Ovis aries: one gene and its partners. The protein of the gene in region 5 binds, or shares a complex with, the protein of the main gene of each other region. Links are inferred from orthologs where the notes say so. Each region holds a gene or a part of one and is shown on either strand. Other genes may lie near its edges. The genes, in order: ZMAT2, SMU1, SF3B3, MFAP1, PRPF38A and IK.

What was found.
Region 1: PRPF38A (region 5) and ZMAT2 share a complex: the UniProt entries of both Homo sapiens proteins name them as parts of the spliceosome B complex. The link is inferred for Ovis aries from reciprocal best matches to the Homo sapiens genes PRPF38A and ZMAT2.
Region 2: PRPF38A (region 5) and SMU1 share a complex: the UniProt entries of both Homo sapiens proteins name them as parts of the spliceosome B complex. The link is inferred for Ovis aries from reciprocal best matches to the Homo sapiens genes PRPF38A and SMU1.
Region 3: PRPF38A (region 5) and SF3B3 share a complex: the UniProt entries of both Homo sapiens proteins name them as parts of the spliceosome B complex. The link is inferred for Ovis aries from reciprocal best matches to the Homo sapiens genes PRPF38A and SF3B3.
Region 4: the proteins of PRPF38A (region 5) and MFAP1 are in contact, whole or in part, in a crystal structure (PDB 5F5S), measured with the Homo sapiens proteins. The link is inferred for Ovis aries from reciprocal best matches to the Homo sapiens genes PRPF38A and MFAP1. Residues at the interface, in NP_116253.2 of Homo sapiens: Tyr124, Asn125, Tyr127, Lys129, His143, Asp145, Glu146, Asp149, His153, Tyr169, Val170, Glu172; in NP_005917.2 of Homo sapiens: Glu275, Tyr276, Trp279, Arg282, Glu283, Arg286, Arg289, Asp290, Arg294, Leu297, Glu298, Lys301.
Region 6: PRPF38A (region 5) and IK share a complex: the UniProt entries of both Homo sapiens proteins name them as parts of the spliceosome B complex. The link is inferred for Ovis aries from reciprocal best matches to the Homo sapiens genes PRPF38A and IK.

Annotation. Positions count from the first base shown.
Region 1 is NC_056058.1:49,485,641-49,489,819, forward strand, and holds the start of ZMAT2 (zinc finger matrin-type protein 2), read left to right. Parts: upstream 1-1,379; 5' UTR 1,380-1,393; coding exon 1,394-1,411; intron 1,412-1,744; coding exon 1,745-1,838; intron 1,839-2,778; coding exon 2,779-2,902; intron 2,903-4,101; coding exon 4,102-4,175; intron 4,176-4,179. UniProt on the Homo sapiens protein: Involved in pre-mRNA splicing as a component of the spliceosome.
Region 2 is NC_056055.1:38,076,462-38,080,433, reverse strand, and holds the start of SMU1 (WD40 repeat-containing protein SMU1), read right to left. Parts: upstream 2,801-3,972; 5' UTR 2,721-2,800; coding exon 2,695-2,720; intron 1-2,694. UniProt on the Homo sapiens protein: Involved in pre-mRNA splicing as a component of the spliceosome. Regulates alternative splicing of the HSPG2 pre-mRNA. Required for normal accumulation of IK.
Region 3 is NC_056067.1:1,088,206-1,091,705, forward strand, and holds part of SF3B3 (splicing factor 3B subunit 3), read right to left. Parts: intron 3,220-3,500; coding exon 3,064-3,219; intron 2,527-3,063; coding exon 2,383-2,526; intron 247-2,382; coding exon 124-246; intron 1-123. UniProt on the Homo sapiens protein: Component of the 17S U2 SnRNP complex of the spliceosome, a large ribonucleoprotein complex that removes introns from transcribed pre-mRNAs.
Region 4 is NC_056071.1:53,265,322-53,269,499, reverse strand, and holds the start of MFAP1 (microfibrillar-associated protein 1), read left to right. Parts: upstream 1-1,378; 5' UTR 1,379-1,517; coding exon 1,518-1,596; intron 1,597-4,178. UniProt on the Homo sapiens protein: Involved in pre-mRNA splicing as a component of the spliceosome.
Region 5 is NC_056054.1:26,803,042-26,807,321, reverse strand, and holds the start of PRPF38A (pre-mRNA-splicing factor 38A), read right to left. Parts: upstream 2,801-4,280; 5' UTR 2,781-2,800; coding exon 2,651-2,780; intron 842-2,650; coding exon 682-841; intron 1-681. UniProt on the Homo sapiens protein: Involved in pre-mRNA splicing as a component of the spliceosome.
Region 6 is NC_056058.1:49,453,081-49,455,989, reverse strand, and holds the end of IK (protein Red), read right to left. Parts: intron 2,489-2,909; coding exon 2,431-2,488; intron 1,358-2,430; coding exon 1,269-1,357; intron 1,089-1,268; coding exon 980-1,088; intron 808-979; coding exon 773-807; intron 689-772; coding exon 661-688; 3' UTR 501-660; downstream 1-500. UniProt on the Homo sapiens protein: Involved in pre-mRNA splicing as a component of the spliceosome. Auxiliary spliceosomal protein that regulates selection of alternative splice sites in a small set of target pre-mRNA species. Required for normal mitotic cell cycle progression.

The DNA of each region.
Region 1 (4,179 bases), on a different chromosome or scaffold from region 5:
TTGCTGTCAGCAAGTTTCTTGGAAAGTCACCTCAGATTGAGAGGATTCTGAACCATTGAGATCAAAAGTCAAATATTTAGCCTTCCACTATGGCTTCTGGAAAGTTTGTCCAAAACCTAGTCATGGGCTGTTCAGGGAGTTTTGGGGAGACAGCAAGGACGGGAAATGACTTCTTTCTGTTTTGTTTGAGAACAGAGATGCTATCCTAAGGGCATTGCACTGCCCATATTGATGTGACATCTCTCTAGCCCATCCACTGTTAATAATAACAGGGTGAGCCTGTTTGTTTAATAATCTTGAATGTTGAACTTAATAGGTGACCTGACAAGATGGAGATATGTTTTTGGGGCCCATTACCTGTGCCGGAATCACTTCTCTGACTTCTGTGTCCTGCCATGGAGGTAGCTGTTCTTGAAGTGGTTGTATAATATATTAAATAAAATTTTAATGGAGTAGTTTGAGTAATTGTTATCAAGGGGTTGGTTTGCGTAGGCCATGGAAAACCCTAGAGTGTACACGGGAGGATTCTGTGAACTAGGAGTTATCTCCCTGGGGTGATGTTTCTGTATTGAGTGAAGGAAGTGACCACAGTTCCCTCTTCCCCCAACTTAGAGATAAAGTCACACCACTGAATCAGTGTATAGTGAGACATCTGCTAGAGTTCTTCACGGGAGTGTTGTTGATACCCAACTTCCCAAGTCCGATCATGTTGTTTAAACTGTGCCCTATGGAGTTGGTGATGGAGAGGGAAGCCTGGCGTGCTGTGATTCATGGGGTCGCAAAGAGTCGGACACGACTGAGCGACTGAACTGAACTGAAACTGATGGATTGAATGACCCTAATGTACTCAGCTGGAGGAAAAATGAGTGAACCAAAGGGTGGTAGCATTGCTTCAAGATAAAGAGACAAACTGTAAAAAGCGATTTGTATTTGTGTGTTGGGAAGGCTGCAATCTTTTCAGGAAAGTGCTCTGAGCCCGTATTTTTAGTGCTTGCGGTGAATCACTAAAGTGAAGCATTTGAGACCGTATAACAGCGCTTCAGCCTTAAATGTTTGGAAACTCCTGGAATGCACGCAAGTTTATTAGACTAGATCAGAGAGCACTGATCTGAATCTTATTTTCCTCTTGTTAAGATGAGTTGAATCTGCCTGTTTTGAAAGCCAGGACGAAAACGTTTGCAGGCGCCCTTACTTCCGTGTTGCTTCATACTTCCCTTACGCATGCGCCATTTCCTTGGCGCGGAGGCGGGGCTGACAATCCTGTTTTCGAAGCCCTCCAGTTCTTCGCTCGTTTAGAACACGAGACTCTAAGCTGATTGGAGGCAAGCTTGCTTTACGGCTCAAGGCCGCTTTTTACGGCATTTTCCGGCTTCCCATTCACTTCGCAGTGAAGATGGCGTCAGGCAGTGGGGTAGGTGTTGTGTGTGAGGAGGCTTGGAGTCGCGGGTAGAGGGTGGCTTCTCGGCGTTGAATATTCCACACCCAACTGGCTTCCCGACGCCTCTTCGCAACATAATGGCTCCAGTTCAAGAGCTCCCCAGTGAGGCTCTCGCGCAGGGTCTGTGGAATCGGGGAGGGCTCGGGTTGGGGTCCTGAGGTAACCTTAGCCTCCTGGTGGTGTCCGGAGAGGCTTCACTCTCTTCAGGTCCTGGGCCGCCTTGGCAGCGTGGACGCGGTTTCTTCAGTTTTTCCAGGAGTTGGACACGATTAGCGGCGAATCTTAAGCGCATTTTTCTTCCCCCAGACAAAAAACTTGGACTTTCGCCGAAAGTGGGACAAAGATGAATATGAGAAGCTCGCCGAGAAGAGGCTCACGGAAGAGAGAGAAAAGAAGGATGGTGGGTACTTGCTTAGTTAAGTGCTAACTGTGTTGTAGAGGCGATGCAGTGGTTGGAGAGTGAGTGGGTGGGGAGTTGAAATGCGCTGTCCTCCATACTTCTGTAATATCTGGCAGAGTATTCCCTCCCTAGTTCTCGATTTCTTCAGATATAAGGTGAAAGCGAGATGGATTGAAGTGCTTTTGAGGTGCTTTCCAGCTCTGTGATTTTCGGGTTCCTTGCTCTGCCTTTGCTTGGCTCATTTAGTACTTTCCTCCGGTACGGAGAAGAGATTGGAATCCTTAGTAGCGACAGGAGGAGGAGTATTTCGCTGCTGTGTGTTAACTACTATTGAAGAGCCTCTTTTTCTCTCAGCAGGAAACATGGTATTATTTAACCTAGCGTCTAGGACTGTTCTCTGTGCGATAGACAGTGTCAGGGAGTTGGTGCTCCTCTTCTAGAGATTCCACTATGTAGAAAAAAATATCTTCCTTTCTCATCTGTTTTCAAACCATACATTCTTCTGCCTTCTTCCACACCAGGTTACACACTCTAAACCTTTTAGTTTTTATGTAACTTGTATAATAGTGCTTGGCATGCAACAGATTATTTCCCAAATATTGGTCTCCCTTTTAAGAGTAGTCTTGCTGTTCTTTTAAAAGGTTGCTTTTTGTGCAGATTCACAACTCTTGCCTTCAGTTAATTAATGCATTTAAAAAATTGCTTTTAGATTCTTTGGCTTTAAAGTGGAGAAAAGATGTAGAGAGTTAAGAATTGCTTGTCATTTTTTTGTGTTGAGCTTCTCCTTAGCTGCTGCTACAAGTGACTGTTGTGTCCTTTGCTTCATGTTTCACAAAAGAAATGAAAGTAGACCTCTGGATTTTGGACTTTATGCATTTCTTTTCCTTTCTGGTTAAGGAACTCTAATAATGAAGGGACTTCCTTCCCCATTATATTTCAGGAAAACCAGTGCAGCCAGTTAAGCGAGAGCTTCTCCGGCATAGGGACTACAAGGTGGACCTGGAATCCAAACTCGGAAAGACAATTGTCATTACCAAGACTACCCCACAGTCTGAGATGGGAGGGTGAGTGGCTTTTCATCTTTCTCTGCAGCCAGGAAATGTTACGCTCAGTACCTGCCCCCAGAATAACAACCTTGTTTCCTGTAATTCCATCCATTTCCCTCCAGGGTCTCTAGTTAACATGTCTGTAAGAGGGGGTTACTCTGTAGGCTTCTTCATATTAGCACTATATCTACTTCTTAATATTTTAAAAGGGATTATTTGTTCTCCTTCCAAAGGAAGAAATGAAGGAAAGGACTACTCAGGAGATTTCTAGGGGAGAAATTAGGTGCAACTAAAATGGAGCCCAGAAAATGTTGACCATGAATAAAGGGAGTTGAGGTTCAAGACTGGCTACAGAAGTTGTAGTTATGTATTTTCTGGTTGTGCACCTTCCTCCTAGACCCTTACTTTTAGGAAGAAAGGTCTCACAAGAACTCTTCATCTTTTTGCCTAACACTACTACTCTGTCTAGGTGTGTTTTCCAGCAGGAGCATAACACAGATAACAATAAGTGACACTTCTCTGAGCTGCTTCTCTGAGTAAACTCACTGTTAACTTTCCTCTTTGTGTTAGTTATCTATTGCTATTTGTGTTAATACATTAACCCAGTATTAGCAGCATAAAACAAAGAATAGCTCACAATATCTCACATGGGTAAGTAATATGGAAAAGGCTTATCTAAGTAGTTCTGGCTCAGGGTCTCTCACAAAGCTGACATCAGGGTGTCTGCTGGGTCTGCATTCATCCGAGGTGTAAGTGGGGCTGGAGGATCTTTGTCCAAACTGTGTCACGTGACTGTGATTTGGAGGCCTCAGTTCTGTGCTGTATGGGCCACTCCATAGTGCTGCTCACAACAAAGCAAGTGGCTTCCCCAGAGTAGGTGATCTACATGAACAGACTAAGCAGAATGCATGTTTTTTTAAAAAAACCTAATCTTGGAAGTGACGTAGCATTACTTTTGATATAATTTATTGATCATATGGACTAACCCTGGTACAAATTGGGAAGGGCCTATATAGGGTAGGAATATAGGTGGCATCAATGTGGGGGCCATCTTGGAGGCTGGAAGCCACACTCTTCTAAGAGCAAAGGCTTTGTGGAAATGAGAAGTGTCTCCTCTAAAAAGAATTTTTACCTAAATATTATCAGTTTCTTGGCTGAAAACGATAAAATCTTTATAAGCAAATTTGAAGCTAGTGTTGTTTCTTTTTGTTTTCTAGGTACTACTGCAATGTCTGTGACTGTGTGGTGAAAGACTCCATTAACTTCTTGGATCACATTAATGGAAAGAAACGTAA
Region 2 (3,972 bases), on a different chromosome or scaffold from region 5:
ACGTTTTAAACCTAGTCTAGTCACTGATACAGAATACTCTAAATGACTGAATGGTTTGGTCCATTTTTAAATGACAGCAAAAAAAATATGAATTGAGACCATTTTAACAGGGATTTGTTGAACATAAATAAGTAGAGCTATATTAGATGTAAATTCAAAACAAAGTTATGTGTCCTCACAAAAATAACACCTACCCACTGCCATTATTACCAAAATTTCAGGACAAGTGAAATAAAAACATGTGAATACACTTTCCCAAGGGAAAGAGAACCCAGACAATCTCCAAATACTGAGAGAACAAGCAACAATTTTCAGCATATGACAGAAAACTTACAAGTTAAATATATATTCAATTAAAACTTCTTGATCTCTGGCTTAGTATTAAGGAGTTTGGTGAATAATTTTTCATATAGACAGTAAAAGCTCATGTACATTGCTATACTACACTGTTCTTCTCTTGCCTTTGAAGTACACATATGGCTCATGCATACTTCTACTGGACAGCATGAGTATCAGGGGTCACACTGTCCAGATTGGAAGAGATTTCAAATTGGAATTTAGTCTATTCTCTTTCCCGGGAGAGAAACAATAATCAAAAAACAATGACCAATGTTTACTTGACCAGTGTTCACAATATATCAGGTACTGTTCTAAGCATTTCCGACTCAGCTACTCCTCAAAACAACCCTATGAGGATGGCATTTACTCTTAGGTCCATTTTACAGATGAGGATTTGGCCAGGAAACAGAGCTAAGTGGAAAAAGGAAGATTCAAACGGGCAGTGTGGCATGTGAGCATATTTTGTTGTTGTCAGTCACTCGGTCGTGTCTGACACTGCGAACCCGTGGACTGCAGCACACCAGGCTTCCCTGTCTTTCACCTTCTCCTAGAGCTTGCTCAAACTCATGCCCATTGAGTCAGTGATGCCATCCAACCACCTTGCCCTCTCTCATCCCTTCCACCTCCTGCCTTCAATCCTTCTCAGCACCAGAGTCTTTTCTAATGAGTCAGCTCTTTCCATAGGTGGCCAAAGTATTGGAGCTGCAGCATTAGTCCTTCCAATAGCCCGGATAGGAGAGCAAACCCCCTCTTCTTAAAAACAGTTCTTGCAGAAGGGAACTGAATACTGCTACTCACAGTGGTCTTTTCTTTCACAGGCCGTTAAGAGACCCCAGCTTGGATCCCTGCTGTTCTAGCACCACACTGTTCCCAACAGCACACTTCCATTTATACTCCACAAATGAGACACCATGCTTGCAAAGAACTCGTATTTTCTAGAGCCAAAATCAAATTCACTTTCTTCTTTGTGTAATACATAAGAGTTAAAAGTTTTGGAGATTTGAATCAGAGATTGGGATTTGAATCAGAGCTCTGCACTTACTGTGACTTTGGACAAGTCAGTTAACGTCTCTTTGCCTATTTCCTCATCTGTTAAGAAAAATACCTACTCTGTAGGGTATACAAATCAGTCTGTAGGGCTGATCAAAGAGAAGATGACACTGCTTACAGCGTGGCTAACAGAGAAAATACTTAATAAACACAGCAATTACTGATAATAAAAAACATGCAGCAGCTCAGGGCTGGGAGAATGATCTGTTCCCATTTTTGATTCAGGGTCTGAAGTATGGAATGCTTTCCAACTCCTGCCAACTCCTAGCTGTCTTCATCGCCAGCACTCTCCATCATCCTTCTTTGTTTTACTTTTCTCCACAACACTTACCACCATCTGTAAGCCTATTTTACTTACTGCTGTTTTCCTTCCTTTCTGTAAGGGCAAGGACTTTGGTCTGCTTCATTCACTACCATATTCCCAGGGCTAGAGCAGGTACACAGCAGACTTCAATATTTTCTGAATGAATAAACCTCCCTTCCTCCTATGGCAGATCCCTCCCTTACACTCATGATGCAAATGTAAAATCTGCCAATTTAATTATTAAGCGTTGGCAAGAGCAAGTAGAGGATGGAGTCCTGGAAAAGTTCACTGAAGACTTTCTTCAGTCACTCATTAGTACCCCTCTCCCCCAAATCTATCATTCTCCTGGCCCAGTTTCCACATTCTGTCCCTCCCTTGTGGCTACACAAAGCTCACGGGCCAACCAAAATTCAGCGCCACACGGAACCTGATAAAACAAGTAGCTTTCATTCCAAAGACAATTACTGAGCCTCTACGATGTACTAGGAACTGAGACTGTGATGAAAAGCAGCCCCTAGGCGCCGACATAGGCTAGAAGGGTGGGCAAACGGTGACAATACCAGATTAAGAGCTAGGCAGAAAAAAACAGAGGGCCGTGTAAGCACAGGGGAGGAAACAAACCACCGTGCTCAATGGGGGCAGGAAGAGAGGGAAGGCTAAGAGTGCAGCCCCCTTGTGCAGATGAGACCGGAGTCCTGACTGGATGGCTAATCTGCTCAGTCTCAGGGCGCATCAGGAGTCGGCGAGGGCTAGAACTCAGGTTTTGCAGGCACGTCCTACCCCTAGCCCCGCGCCGCTTTCCACCAGGCTTTGGGCTTTCCGTTCGCTACTTTCTTGCGGGCCCGCCCCTGAAGCAGTCAGATCCCAAAAGCTTCTTTGTGGGGAAGTAAATACCCCTCCACTCCCAACCTCTGGGACGCCTCCCTCGAGCAGCTTCTACCCCTCAACTCATCGACTCCCGGCCCGGCCACTTCGCGAACATCCGACACCACGAGACTCACTCGGAGGACTCGATTTCGATCGACATAGCGCTGTCTTTCCGGGCGCAGGCCCCACTCCACTCTCAGGCCCAGCCGCACAACGCACCAACGCCACCTCCGGCGACTCACGTACGTCACTTCCGCTCGACGTCGAGCCCCCTCGCTCCGGAGGCCGTGTGTACGGAAGAGGAGGGAGGACTACGTGTGGGGCGGGGCAGTGCTGGGCGGGGCTTGCACGCAGGGCGGTGCAGGGCGGAGCTTCGAGGGCGTTTCAGAAGTCTGAACCTAAGTGCCTGGTCCAGAGAATTCTTCATTCTCTCTAAAGAAAGAGTCGTTCTTAAAGGACTGGTTTCTAAATGTTGCCTTTTAAATTTTTACTTAGTTTAGATTTAAAGATAGGGCTGACAGACATAGAGAACAGACTTTTGGACAGAGTGGGGGAAGGAGAGGGTGGGATGAATTGAGAGTACAGGAGAATCATATATATTACCATAAACAAAACAGATAGCTAGTGGGAATTTGCTGTATGACTCAGGGAGCTCAACCCAGTGCTCTGTGACAACCTAGATGGGTGGGATGGGGTGGGAAGTCGGAGGGAGATTCAAGAGGGAGGGTACGTATGTATCAGTACAGTTCAGTTGCTCAGTCGTATCTGACTCTGCAACCCCATGGACTGCTGCATGCCAGGGTTCCTTGTCCATCACCAATTCCCAGAGCTTGCTCAAACTCATGTCCATCGAGTCGGTGATGCCATCCAACCATCTCATCCTCTGTCGTCCGCTTCTTCTCTGCCTTCAATCTCAAGACCAGCCTCAAGAACTTCTCCAGTGAGTCAGTTCTTCACAACAGGTGGCCAAAGTATTGGAGCTTCCGCCTCAGCATCAATCCTTCTAATGAATATTAAGGGCCGATTTCCTCTAGGATTGACTGGTTTGATCTCCTTGCAGACCAAGGGACTCTCAAGAGTCTTCAACACCGCAGTTCAAAAGCATCAATCCTGAGTTGTATTCGCAGCCACCACCGCGCCGCCGTCGCTCTCCAACGCCAGCGCCTCTTCTGGCTCTCGGAGCTCCAGCCGAAGGAGAAGGTGGGTAAGTAAGGAGGTCTCTATACCGTGGCTCGTACAAAGCAGACTACCGGCAAATCGACCGGTGGTAAAGCACCGAGGAAGCAACTTGCTACAAAAGCCGCTCTCAAGAGTGCGCCCTCTACTGGAGAGGTGAATGAACCACATCGTTACAGGCTTGGTACTGGGACACTCCGTGAAATTAGACGTTATCAGAAGTCCACTGAACTTCT
Region 3 (3,500 bases), on a different chromosome or scaffold from region 5:
TAAAGCTAATGTCCAACTAACTAACTACAACACTGGTGAATTACTGACAGCAAGATTTACACCACAGGGCTCAGCTGATGCCACTAATATCCACACACACATTCTGCCCCTTTCATTACTTACTGCCTCCTGGCCTTGCATCCGGACACGAAACAGTTTCACAGGACGGGACCCCAGGTACCTAGTGCGGGTGTCAGACAGGTCCCCAGTGACAGGGTCCAGGACAGTTCTCAGCAACACACCATTCTAATAAAAATGAGAGAGGTGGTTAAGGCCTACCCATAATGGAAGCTTCTTTAGCTACCCTATTTCAGTTGGAAGAAAATGACTGGGCGGTTTAAATATATAGTCATCAGCCAGCCATTCATTCATTTTCCTAAACCACTCACTCAAATAGTTACTGAGCATTTACTAAGTGAAAAGCAGTTTCCTTTTACCGTATATCCTTAAAATTTTTTACCCTTTATGTTAGACCCTTTACAATTTTAAGATACATGTACAGTTTAACATACCCATGCCTATTGTGGTCTCTAAATACCACTTCCCTTAAAAAAATAAAAGATTCCTGAGAGAAATGCCTTATTCCAGTCTGAAGCAAAAATGTTCTAGATGTGTGTGGAGTACTTTCTTGTGCTAGGAGGAAGCCCCCAAAGATAGTAGGCACCTGTTAAATGGACAAAGGAGGCAACTTCAGAAGGAAAATTCCCACTTTTCTATATTGTGGCAACTTAGCTTCTAAAAGAAAGACTGTGATAGTCTGATGTAAATATAAAAACCTGCAAATGTTATCTAAAATTAAAATAAAAAGCATTTCAGCAGTCTTCACTGGAGACTGCGATGGCACCAACCTCTTACTCTAAAAATAGTGAACAAAGGGGGAAAAGTGAAGTGTTTATCCAAGAACTCAGGTTTGAAGGCTGTGATGCAGCCCCCACAGCAGAGGCAGTAAACTGGATGCACCATCCAGAATCAGGAACACACGCTCCGCCCTGGGGATGAGGAAGAATCGCGCTGTGATTTTCTGGGAGGCCAGCACAGGCGCAGGATGGGAAGTAGGAAGGTCCCCAAGAACAATGATCTGGTTTCTTTTTAACAAGTTGAGACAGTTATTAAAAGAAATGTGAGGGCTTCCTGGTGGTCCAGTGGCTGAGACTGTGCTCCTGACGCAGGGGGCCCGGTTTCAATCCCTGATCAGGGAACAAGATCCCACATGCTTCAACTAAGGCCTGACACAGTCAAATAAATAATGAAATAAAATAATGTGAGAAGATTAAGCAGATAAAAACTGGACAGTTTTATGCATTCTGAGTAGAACCAAAAGTAAAAACTTTTTCCAGAACAGGATAAAAAAGGGAGAAAATGAGAATATGGGGGTATCAGATGATACTAAGGAACTTACATTCTGTTAACCATAATATTAGAGCTTCAAAACACACACACACGCACTCCTCTGTTATAGCTACGTTCTCAAGCCCTTATAGATGACACTAAATTGGATCTGCCTTAAAGAGAAGAGAAGGGAAAGGCAAAATGCTGGTAACTGGTGATGGGTGCATGGAGGTGCATTTCGTTAGTCTAACTCCTGGGCATGTTTGAGAATTTCTAAATTAGGAAGTAAAATTAAAAACCAAACAGTCTCCTGGGCTAGGCGAAAAAAAAAAAAAAGGATATGGTCAAAACCCCTGATACTCTCTGATTCTTGGGTTCCTGCCTTTCATGCCATGAAGAGCCTAGGTGCTTTGACAACAGGGTACACCGAGGAGCCCTTTACTGCTAACGGAGCCCATCATGAACTGTGAGGCCCTCTGTATCCTTGGATTTCGAATCCACAATTCAACCAACCACAGATCAAAAATATTTCAGGGGGAACAAAAGCAGAAAATGCCAAAAAACTAAACTTGAATTGGCTGCACATGTACAGCAACTATTTATACAGCATTTACCTTGTATTAGGCAATTAAGTAATCTAGAGATGATTTAATTAAAGGTTACGAAAAAATACAAACATTATGCCATCTTATATAAGGGACTTGAGTATCTTCTGATTTTGGTATCCAAGAGAGATCCTGGAACCAACCCCAAGGACACTGAGGGACAACTGGATTACAGTCTCACAACTGCAAACTGTGGAAACCAGAGGCAATATAGCTCTGTCCCAAAACAGTCACTGCTAAGCAGTTTTATCAGACTCTAGAAAATACTTTTTTCCAGCCCTGATTTCTTCTAAATTAGAGCTAAAACAAGTGGAACAGAGAGCAAAACTGATCCCTTCTCACAAGGCGGGTAACTAACACACAGGCACAGAAAACACCTGCGTTACACAAAGCAGCCATGGAGAAAAGACGCCCTGACCCCAGGAGTGAGGGTTTCTGGACCTCTTACCTGGAGTCCAATATTCAGGTACAAGAAGCCAATAGAGCCTCTCTCCCCCAGCTCATCCTGCTTCTCGGTCCCACCCATTTCCACAATACACAAGGACTCGGGCTGGGCCGGGAGAGCCTGCATGCTCAAAGGCTGTAAACAGTCCTAAAGTGGAAAGAGAAAACAGAATACGGCAAGTGACCAACTCTGGAAAAAAACCTACCCAGAAAAATCTAATTCTTAGAAGTGAAGAACAGCTCTTTTTCATGGACATGGAAAACCTGAAGAATGAGTTCTCAACAGGTACGGGGTCACTAGAGAACTAAACCTTAAAACAAGCTCTGGAGAGGATTGGGCTTTCTCTTTTTTGTAGAAGTGGAGAATGGTAAAACTAAATAAGCAAAGGGTACCTCTTTAGAGTCATCTAAGGCTCTTTTCTGTAAACACAGTCTTGGATTTTGTTTTCGTTCGTTTAAACTAAAAAAGGGAATCAGGACTTAAGCCAAAGACACATTTAGTAGTCTTGGATCAGTCCTTTTAAAGCACTGCAGGCGATTCATGAGGTGTGCTGCTACAATAATCAGAAGCAGCAGAAGTCTAGATTCAGGGCCCAGCCCAGCTGATCTCAGAGAGGGACATCAAGAATGGGCCGGGTGCTCAGGTTCCAACTGGAAGATCCTTGAAATGGAGGGTGACACTCACCGAGGGGTCCAAGGAGATGATCCTGACAGTGTTGTCCACCAGCCCCACAGCCAGAAAGCGAGACCGCTGCTCCCCAGGGGGCACATTGGCCAGGCTCATGCACACCACATCCGCCGACATCTCCTTCCGCTCCGTGTACTCGTTCAGCTGTCCCGACTACAGGATTGAAGACAGGGAGAGGTCACAGACCACGCCACCCCGTCCCCAACTCCCGAGCCTGGAGAAGAAAGGGGGCTTGCTAAATAAGTTCTTTTTTGCTTCCTCTCACTCTATCATCGACGAGCAAAAATTTCTCAACTTGAGTTTCCAAGACTGAACTCTACAGGCTAATGGCAAGCAAAATTACTGACAAGATAATAAAGAGACCTTTGACAAGCATAATGCACCAAATTTCCTAAGCCAACCTAACTTTTAGGAAATGAAAATATATCACTGTT
Region 4 (4,178 bases), on a different chromosome or scaffold from region 5:
CCTCGGGATAGCATAATTTTGGAGCTGATAAATTTACAATACAAATTTCTATCAACTCTATTTTTACAGTCCTTCGTAGCTCAAAACTTGTGTCCTGCACTGTTCTTTGATTGAGACTTGCCCAATTTTATTTCTTCTCCCAGCTGAGGCCCAACTGTAGAACAGGTGAAACCACTTGAGAAGTAATGCTACTAACAGTACCTTCAGGAAAGTTCCCTTCAGCAATTTTTCACTCCTGGACTCAAAAATTACTGATAAAATCACTTTTCACAGCGCCTGATATATGCCATATTTCTGGACTTCAAGACTTTGCTCACATTGTCCCTTCTCTCCGTACACAGCAGTTATAAAATCTTTTCTACAGCGTTCTGCCAACTAGCCTGTTTTTTGTTTTTGTTTTTAAACACGATCCACCTAGAAAATGGGGGCTATTTGTTCCTATTCTATTATAAACCCTTTCGGTTCAGTTCAGTCGCTCAGTCGTATCCGACTGTTTGCGACCCCATGAATTGCAGCACGCCAGGCCTCCCATTGCTGCTGCTGTTGCTAAGTCACTTCAGTCGTGTCCGACTCTGTGCGACCCCATGGACTGCAGCCTACCAGGCTTCTCCATCCATGGGATTTTCCAGGCAAAGAGTACTGGAGTGGGGTGGCATTGCCTTCTCCGGGCCTCCCATTAAGACTTACTAAATAAAATTCAAGTTCCTGGAGGACACGAGCCTTTTAACAATATTCCATACTCCTTAGAGAGATCTAAGTGATGTAAACACCAGTGCTTAATAATTACTTACGGACTCATATACAAACACTCCAGCCAGGAATATGTTATAATAGGCAGTCTCCAGAAACGGACAGAACTGGAACGCTTAATAGTGTTCGGATCTCAGACACTATTCTAAGCTGCTTGGGGGATTTTTTTTTTCTTGCCACTGGCCTAAATTACCACCACTTGCCCTCAAGTGACCAAAAAATACCTCACCACAATCCGCTCAGCCTCATCAACTGAGCTAATCAAGTGCTGTTAACGGGATTTCTATTCCGATTAAACTCTGAGCTTTCAAATTTGACAATCTTTACAAACTGCAGTTCATTATCTCCTGAGTTTCATTATTCATCACTACCCTGTAATAGTCGGGTTTAGACCAACCTAACGAACAAAACCTTTACTTGAGACTTCCCTCGTCGCAGGGTCTTAACAGCAAATCCCAGTGGAACCAACTTCCCGCGGGGAAGACGCGTACAAGCACTGCGAGACTGAGAACACCGGGGCAGCCTATGGACATGCGCAGTAACAGACTCCACCTTCTAGTCGTAGGCGTCTAGAAGTCCTCCACAATCCCACAATCCTCTGGTCGTATACTTCCGGTTTTTCTAGCTCAGTCGAAGGTGGTGTTTCTATCAGTCGCGGAGCAGTTTCAAGTGGTCCTAGGAGGAGAGGGTTTTATCTGTTCGTTGACGTTGTAGCTGTTCACTTTGAAATCAGTCGAGTTTCGGGAGTCACCGCCGCTGTCGTCAACATGTCGGTCCCAAGCTCACTCATGAAACAACCGCCCATTCAGTCAACGGCTGGGGCCGTCCCGGTTCGCAATGAGAAAGGTACTGTGTTGAGCGGTTTTCCAGTCGGATCTTATCTCTTTCGTCAGGATATTCCAAACTTACCCCGGGTCCACCACCTTATCCCCAGAGATCCTTAAGACCCTGCCCCTATTTCTTCGACTTCCCCGTCAAACTCGGATCCGATCGCGTTGCTACTTAGAACTCATCTCCTTAGTAGAACCTGTGTGCTCTCTCGTCCACCAATAAGTTAAGCTAATATAGTGAATGCCTGCTATTTGCATGGCTTTGTGTAGCATACATTTTGTTGTCCATTGTCTGTTTATGGTGCTTTTATAACTCGTATGATTGTAATTACTTGTCCACCTCCGTCTACTACATCGTAAATCAATAACCTATTTGAGGCAAGAACTCTATCTTAAAACTTTTTATCCCTTTCAGCCATCGCAGTGACTGTATTTGTTACATTGAATACAAAATGGTGTAAAACAGTGGTGTAAGGAACTCATAGTCTGTAGATGTGAGACATGCAAAAAAGAGGCACATTCTGAACAAATTTATGGTCTTTCCCACCTATAAAACCTGTCACATAGGTGATATAAACGAAATGCTTTGGGAGGACAGAGAAGGAATAATCTCTTCAGATTGGAATATTTAACTTGATCTTTAAAGGATGGGTAGGATTCTAATGAGTGCAGATGGACGAAGGAAAACTGTACTTGTTTGGGGAGTCAGACTGAAAGTCTGAGTTTTTTCAGTAAAGTATTTGGAAAATAATGTCAGTTCTTTTTATCTTTTAAATATACAGTATCTATCTTTGTGCATTCTGCCTTTTGTTGTTGTTTTTTCCTTAAGTCAGCATGACTTTGGTAAGTGTCCTTTGGATACCTGAAGATCTCATTCATTCACTTTAACTGCTTGTTTCGTCGCTAAGTCCTGTCTGACTCTGGGACTCCATGGGACTGTAACCCACCAGGTTCCTCTGTCCTTGGGATTTCCCAGGCAAGATTACTGGAGTGGGTTACCATTTCCTTCTCCAGGGGATCTTCCCTACCCAGGGATAGAACTGGTGTCTCCTTCATTGGCAGGTGGATTCTTAACCTCTGAGCCACCAGGGAAGCCCCTTTACCTGCTTATAAGTTCCATTGTATAATTAAACCACAGTTTGATCCCTGTTGAGGGACATTTAGTTGTCATTTTGTTACTTTTTTCCCTTTTACAAATAGTGCTTAAATATGTCTCTTTAGTGCACTTGTGTAAAAATTTCTACTAGGGTAGTGTGAATCTACGTTGACACATCATTTATCATTCAGTCCGTAGTTTGCATTAAGATTCACTCTGATGTACATTCTATGGATTTGAACAAATGTATCGGGATATATATCCATCATTATGGTATCACACAGTATTTTCACTTAGTAATATGCATTTTAAGTTTCCTGCATGTATTTTCATGGCTTGATAGCTCTTTTTGTTTTGTTGTTGCTGAGTAATATTCCATCATCTGGATGTACCATAGTTTACTTATCCATTCACCTCTGTGAAGGACAGCTTGGTTGCTTACAAGTTTTGGCAATTATGAACAAAGCTACAATCGATATCCATGTGCGGGTTTTTGTGTTTTGCTCCTTTGTATAAATACCAAAGAGCGGAAATGAGATCATATGGTAAGAGTATGCTTAGTTTTGTATGAAACCACCAAACCATCTTCCAAAGTGGTTGTGCCATTTTGCACTCCCACCCACAATAAATCAGAGTTCCTGTTGCTCCACATTCTTACCAGCATTTGGTATTGTCAGAGCTCTAGATTTTGGCCATTCTGTGTGTAGCAACATCTCATTGTTGTTTTTTTTTTTTTAATTTGCATTCCCTGAAGACATATAAGGGCTTCCCAGGTGGCTCAGTGGTTTAAAAAAATTACTGCCAATGAAGAAAACAAAGGTTTGATCCCTTGGTGAGGAAGAGGCCCTGGAGGAGGAAATGGCAGCTCACTCCAGTATTCTTGCCTGGAGAATCCCCATGGACAGAGGAGCCTGGCGGGCTACAGTCCATGGGGTCGCAGAGTCGGACACGACTAAGCCACAGAGCATGCACGAAGACACAAAATGTGGACCATCTTTTCACATACTTATTTGCCATCTGTATATCTTCTTTGGCAAGGTGTCTGTTAAGGTCTTTTACCTCACCTTGTTCTTCAGAATTGTCTTGGCTCTTTTTGACCTCCTGTTCTTCCATATGATTTTAGAATCAGCCTGAGAACAGCTTTTAATGAAATTACATTAAAATTATAGAGCACAGGTCAGTTCAGTCGCTCAGTCGTGTCCGACTCTTTGCAACCCCATGAATCACAGCACGCCAGGCTTCCCTGTCCATCACCATCTCCTGGCGTTCACTCAGACTCATGTCCATCAAGTCCGTGATGCCATCCAGCCATCTCATCCTCTGTCGTCCCCTTCTCCTCCTGCCCCCAATCCCTCCCAGCATCAGAGTCTTTTCCAATGAGTCAGCTCTTCACATGAGGTGGCCAAAGTACTGGAGCTTCAGCTTTAGCATCATTCCTTCCAAAAGAAATCCCAGGGCTGATCTCCTTCAGAATGGACTGGTTGGATCTCCTTGCAGTCCAA
Region 5 (4,280 bases):
CATCCCCTACATAATGGGGATAATAATTTTACAGGGTAGTTGTGGAGGTTAAATAAATTATTGCATGTAAATTTCTTAGAATAGAGATTGGCAATAATAATCTATTATTACATCTGTCTCCTGTTCTCATCTGTGAGCTCCTCAAACAGCTTATATTTTGGGGCCAGATACCATGCAACAGGCACCGATAGAGATTTACAGCTCTTTCTTCCTTAATCCTCACATCTATCCTGAGTTGGTATTATTGTTTCCATTTTACAGGTAAAGAAAGTAAAATTTAGAAAATTAAGTAACTTCTCCAAGGTCACAGTTCATAGGTAATAGGGTCTGGACATGAACCTACAATTAACACAAACGTCTCCCTCTTCTTCACCACACTTTATGTTGCTTTCTTCATCCTTAAGTATTCAGTGCTACCAACATATTTGGCATTAACTTCTGCTTAATATATGTCAGTGAGTTTTGTGAAATACTTTTTTGGAAGAAAAGTCACCAAGGTTCAGAAAGTAAAGAAGGTTAATACAATCAAAACAGACAAAACAAAAACTCAAGGGGCGCAGGAACAAAATACCAGAGTGGGACTTTGGAAATGGGATACACTGTTTCACTTCTTTTAACCAAAGCCAAATTCTGGACCATGAAATTAAAATATTTATATTAGCTAGTAAATATTTTACTCACTTGAAATCTTCATTTTTTATAAACTCTACAATGATGTCCTTCTCAGGTTGAATCTGAAGCATCTTCAAGGTTAAACACAAAAAAGGAGTTGGCTTTATGTTGCCACCATAGACACCACCCACAAATCTTAACTCCATAGCTTTATCGACTACAAGTTCAGCTAAAAAACAAAAACAGAGTGGCATTGCAGACATATTAAGACTAAGCTTTTACAGGTTTGAAGTGCAGAGAGTTAAAGTTAGTTCAAAATTTGGTGCTCCTGAATTAACAGCTTAATATTAGGAGAACAAGTGTGCAATAAATAACAGCAGCCAATACACACTGAGAGATTATTATATGCCAAGCACTCTGCTAAGCACTTCATACTATCTCATTTAATCTTCACAAGTCATGAGCTTAAGTTCCAGCACTGCCCTTGTTTTCAGCTAAGGAAAATGAGGGCTAAGAAAGGTTAAATGATTTGCTCAAGATTCACAGCCAGAAAGTGGCAGGGCCTGGATTTTAGTCCAAGAAGTCTGACTTCAGAGTCTGTGCTTGTCACCATCATGTTAGAGGAAAAACTGCCAGATTAAATAAGAGTTAGAAGGAGGAAAACTGTAACAAACCACTCCTCAACTATGTAACTCTTAAGTTCATCTAGACAACAGGGATAACTTCTCGATGTTGTCATCAAAATCAGACACCAGTTTTGTGAACGAGGGCAAGTCATTTCACCTCTGGAATGAGAAAAGGCCCCCAAAGTAAATCTTACATGACTCCAAAATTTAATGGCGACTCTGAAAACCAATATGGCTCTGCCGTGGATACACAGCTAGGGTGATGGCAGAGCAGTAACAGCACAGGAGTAAGTAGCAGTGGTAACAACCTGCGCCACTATCACCACTGATTACTGAGTACTTTTATTAATATATGGCTGTAGCTAAATATACATAGCATCACCGACTCAATGGACATGAATTTGAGCAAACTCTGGCAGACAGTGGAGGAGAGAGAGCCCGGCAGGCTACGGCCCAGGGGGGTCACAAGAGTCTGACACTACTTAGCGACTGAACAAGCTGTAACTATATACCCAACACTTCTTACACTTTATTTCATTTAATCGTTAGATTTCTTGGGTTAAATCATTTAATCCGTTGACCTCTGATGTGGGTATTATTGTGCTCGGTTTACAGTAGATGAACTAATGGTTCACGGGGGAAACACAGGTACCAAAAAAAAGCCAGAATTAAACCGAGTATCAAAGACGACCTGGAAGATTTCTCTTAAAAACATATATTTATATTAGGACTGGGAATGTGAAATATTGCAAATGGTCCAGATTTGGTAAGATTATAAATTTGGTTTCGGGAATACTGACGCTCCTTTAAGACCTTCAGGGTTAACACTACTACTACTACTACTACTACTACTACTACTACTACTACTACTACTACTAAGTCACTTCAGTCGTGTCCGACTCTGTGCGACCCCATAGACGGCAGCCCACCAGTCTCCCCCGTCCCTGGGATTCTCCAGGCAAGAACACTGGAGTGGGTTGCCATTTTCTTCTCCAATGCGTGAAAGTGAAACGTGAAAGGGAAGTCGCTCAGTCCTGTCCGACTCTCCGCGACCCCGTGGACTGCAGCCTACCAGGCTCCTCCGTCCATGGGATTTTCCAGGCAAGAGTACTGGAGTGGGGTGACATCGCCTTCTCCGGGAACCCAGTAAGTTATCATTAACTATGGAATGCCTCAAAGAAACGACGTGTGACACCCTTCCGAATAAGGTCCTATCACATCTATCTGTGTTCCCAAAGCCCAACACAACACTAGGCACAGAGTAGGCGCTCAGATTCTTCCGAATGACTGAAAAATTCCCCCTAAATCTCACCCCCAGTGGGCCAGTCCTATTGTACTACTCCGGAAAACTGGGCCACGGGACGACAGGGGTTGGGGCGGGGATGGGGGGTGTTCCGCACGCTCTTGCTCACCTGTAAGTCCAAAGCACTCCTCTTTCCAGTATTTGGACTCATAAATTCGCGTCCGAATGATTTTCTCCACCAGATACTGAGGGTTGGTGCCGTGGATGCTGTGCGCATCTTTTACCGTACGGTTCGCCATTTTAGAACGCCTGACGTTCTATTTCCGTCGGGTCCTTTAAGACGTCACATCCACGTTAAAAAAACCAGAGAGAAATGATGAGGTTGGAGGAAGTCTCACTAAACGGTTCGAGCGTGCATCTTGAACCCGGAAATGTTTTCGAGTTAGGAACTTTCTTCGGCGAACGGCTTCGCAAACCTAATCAATGATGGCCGCGGCCCTTCGGCGGATGTACGTCGTGCGTCCCTCCTTAGATGGGCGGGGCGGAAGGGCTGGCTGCTGACGGAACGTGGAGACACCCTGGGGGCGGGGCTACGGCGTTTGGCGCGAAATTTCCTTTTCTCCACCTTCTTTCCATTCCTAGCGAGGCTTCCGTTTCGGCGTTGTTGCGCGCCTGGCAGCTATAAGAAGAGTGCCCCTGGGGCAGGTAGATTTGCTGCAGTTCCACGAGCTCCTGAAGCGGGGACGCTGGAAGGAGGCTTGCGCCCAGCTCCAACAAACTTTGGCGCCCGGTGAGTGTGACGTCCCAGGCTGGAGAGGGACCTGAGCCGCGGGACTGTGGAATTTGTTCTCTGCGGACTGATTCAGCCATAAATCCATTCAGCAGATATGTACTAAACGCCTGTTAAATGCCAGGCACTGTTCTAAGTGCATTAGGAGCGTCTTACTTTCCACATGGCGATTTCTAACAGCTTTCTGCCTCTGCCGGGGATTGCGATCTTGCAGTGGGAAACCGGAAGCCAACAGCGGAGAAGGAAGCGTGAACACTCCTGTCCTCAGCTCCTTAAGACTATCAGTATTGACCTGAGTCATATGAACCTTATATCCACATGGCCCGTGGGAAGCAATCGCATCTTTCTTTTAGGGTAGTGTAACAAGCACCACAGGGAAGCGGAGCAGCAGAAGTTACTACTCGATGTGGATGTCGCTATTGCTCCCAGAGGGAAAAAGAGACTAGTCTTAAGTCCCTTTCCGTGACTAAGGGGCCTGAGCTCCTACTCAGATCTTTTTTTTTCCCCTAGACGAGCTGCTCTTAACTGCAGTGGCACCTCTTTTACTTTCTCTAGTCTAACCCCGAAATAGAAGGGCCTTCTCTTCTGGCAAATTGGAAAAAGCACTGGACTTAGAGAAATGAGATGCAAGATTCTTATCTTGGGCTATCTGCCAAATTGCAATAATTAGATATGGTAGTTTTCTATTTTGGTTGTCTGTAAAAGTGGTACCCTCTTCCCTGCTGTTTTGGAAGGTTTCTGGGGCGAGATCATGTTCATCAAGTCCCTTTGCAACAGTTTTTAATGTAACAGGGCAATATGCAACTTCAGAAGGTTTCTGAATTCCTTGAAATTAAACGCAGAATTTTGTGTGAATTCTGTTTCATAACATTCATCAAAGTATTAAAAAACAAAACCAAGAAAAAAACCACTGTCCCGTATGAATAAATGCAAAGGGTTAAGGGAGTGGGGAAGGACTTTCCTGGCAGTCCAGTGGGTAAGACTTGGTGCTTCTACTGCAGGGAGCGCG
Region 6 (2,909 bases), on a different chromosome or scaffold from region 5:
ACCAAACCCCTCTTAGCTAGGACAGGGATTCCTCAAGTGAGGGATTCCTCACTTCCCCTCCAACCCAATAAGCAGTGATTTCTGCTTGGAATTACTGAGGATCCCCACAAGGCATAAATCTGTGTGAAAGGTTTTTTGTTCCCAGGAGTGTTTCTCATCAAGTGCCTTCACCTAGAACCCAGTCATGCACAACCTTGGGATCAGACTGGCAGCTCACTGGGCTAACCCTAAGTCCCAGAGAACCTCTACCCTAAGACTAGGTCCCCAGATGAGTCTGCTATTTAAGACCAATCATCTTTGTTTTTCTGTGCTTATCAGTGAGGGTCAATCGTCCCTTCTCCACTGGGTATCCTGGCTACTATATATATTGCTTAGGAATCTATTAACAGAAGCACAGCTCAGCAAAGGACTGAGCTGACTTCCATGTGATTTTTATACAATCAGTGGGATTAGAAGACTTCTTGGTGTACCTGGGCCCTCAACATACATAAGATAAGACAGCAGGTTAACCAACTTTAATGGGATCAAAACATTATACAATAAAATTTATACACATTCACACACAAAAAAATCTTTCAACTTTTTTTTTGGAATTGTATAAAGCAAGCAGTGGGGAGTAAATCCTTGTGGAGATTATTCTTGGAGTTGGAACCAGAGATTTTAGTATTTTGGTCTTTTCACTTCAACTCTGCAATAGAAGGAGAAATGAACATAAGATCAATATACTAAGCAATTCTCACCAGTCCCACAGAGGAAAAATAATGCTGCTCACCCATCAGCTTCCATCTTCTTCCTCTTCTCAATGATCTGCAAGAACAACAGTTATAGTTGATAGACTGCCATTCTAAGCTCACCTGAAACCCAAGGCTGACCTCTCTCCTACTTCCATGGCTCTCCAACCCCTTGCCTGGTTCCTGAATCTGTGGGCAAGTATGTCTTCCCAGCTCAGGCCCTCCCACCCAGAACCAGTCCCACTTACCGCACTAATCTTTTTCCACTGGCGATCAAGCTCTGCTTTGTCATTGGTTTCCTTGAAGCGCCTGGTTTTCCGCCCTTCAGACATCTTGATGCCATACTGGAATGCAGCTCTGAAGGGAAAAAAGGGGAGTTGAGGGAAGGAGGCATCAGAGGTTACAGAGCAGTAGCAAGGTGTTCCCAGAGGACCTATGAGCAGAGAACTGATTTTGTAATGTTTCAGCCAGACTACACCCTCTCACCACCCACCATCCCTCTCCTCACACTTGGCTGTATTTAGTACCAAGACTCACTTGGGCAAAGCCTCCTTGTTGTTCATATACTCGCTATATTCCTCCTGGGTGTCAAAGTCCCAGCGGCCTAAAGGACCTTTCTTGTTACCCTGTTGCAGGACAGAATGGGGGGGGGGGGCAGGGAAGGAAGAGTTGTCAGTGGAAATCAAATTTTAGCCCTTGATTAAAGCCAGGCTCTCCCATAATCCCAGGTTTTATCATTAATAAATCCTACCTTAATAAGAAGTGTTTACTATGTACTTACTATGGGTTGGGAAGATCCAATGCAGAACGGAAAGGCTACCTACTCTAGTATTCCAGCCTGGAGAATTCCATGGACTGTATAGTCCATGAGGTCGCAAAGAGTCGCACAACTGAGCGACTTTCACTTCACTCACTCCTATGGGCCAGATATTATTCTGCACATTTAACATGTACCTTATTTAATTCTCTCAGAAACTGTTCTGAGAGAACTTAAGAGTTCTCTCCATTTTCCTAATGAGGAAACTGAAGAATAAGCAGTAACATAATTTGACATGGTCACAACACTAATACCTAGCAGAGCCAGGGTTAAGCAAGGCTCCAAAACAGAATGAGACCATGCTGTTAAGCACAAAAGTACAGAGAAAACAAGGAAAAAGATGACACTTCTTCACCCTTATTGGTGTTTGTTTAAGGCTTAGAGGAAATATCAATCCTGGCTATAATAAAACTCAAGTTATTTTCCTTTTTCTCCTGCCAGTTATTTTCTTTTTTTTTAATTTTATTTTTATTTTACAATACTGTATTGGTTTTGCCATACACTGACATGAATCCACCAAGGGTGTATACAAGTTCCCAATCCTGAATCCCCCTCCCACCTCCCACTGCCAGTTATTTTCTAAAAACTGAAATTCCTTCTGCCCTTTTCTACATGTGCACTAAAGGCCTGCTTACTGCCCAAGATGGAATTCAAAGCCTGGCACTTTATAGAAAATAAAAAGAAACATATTCTTGGCCCTATCTCATTTGACTTAGTCGTGACGCTTTAAAACACTTAAGCTGCCCAAGACCCACAATGCCACTGCTCCTACTACTCCAGCTAATGGAAGATGAGCCTCAGGAAATGACAGATCTTTTGGGAGGAGAAAATGGGATATGTGTTAAACAGTAACTGCCCCCACCCATTCTTCCAGCTCCACACCTGGTCCATTTTGCTATAATCCACCTCCTCATCACTGTCCACAGCCATGTCATCCATCCTAAAAAGAAGCAACAGTTTAAAAGAGATGGTGGATTTCCAGACTCCTATGATTCATTCAGAAACCTACCTACTAAGAGACTATATGCCTAGGAATAGCCATCCCTCCTAGGCCTCCCACACAGAGCCTAACAGAATACTTTATCTAGTAAGAAGTACCCCTGGGTTCCACCAAGTCAAATTTCCACATCACTGCTACTACCCCCAAACTTATTCTCCGATCATCCCAGTCCACCTTCTTCAATAGAGTCTCGGGACTGCCCTGGTAGTCCACTGCTTAGCAATCCACCCACCAGTGCAGGGGAACAAGTTCAATTCCTGATCTGGAAAGATTCCGCATGCAGGTAGGCAACTAAGTTTGCGTGTCCCAACTATTGAACCTGAGCTCCACAACAGGAAAAGCTACTGCAACTAGAGAGTAG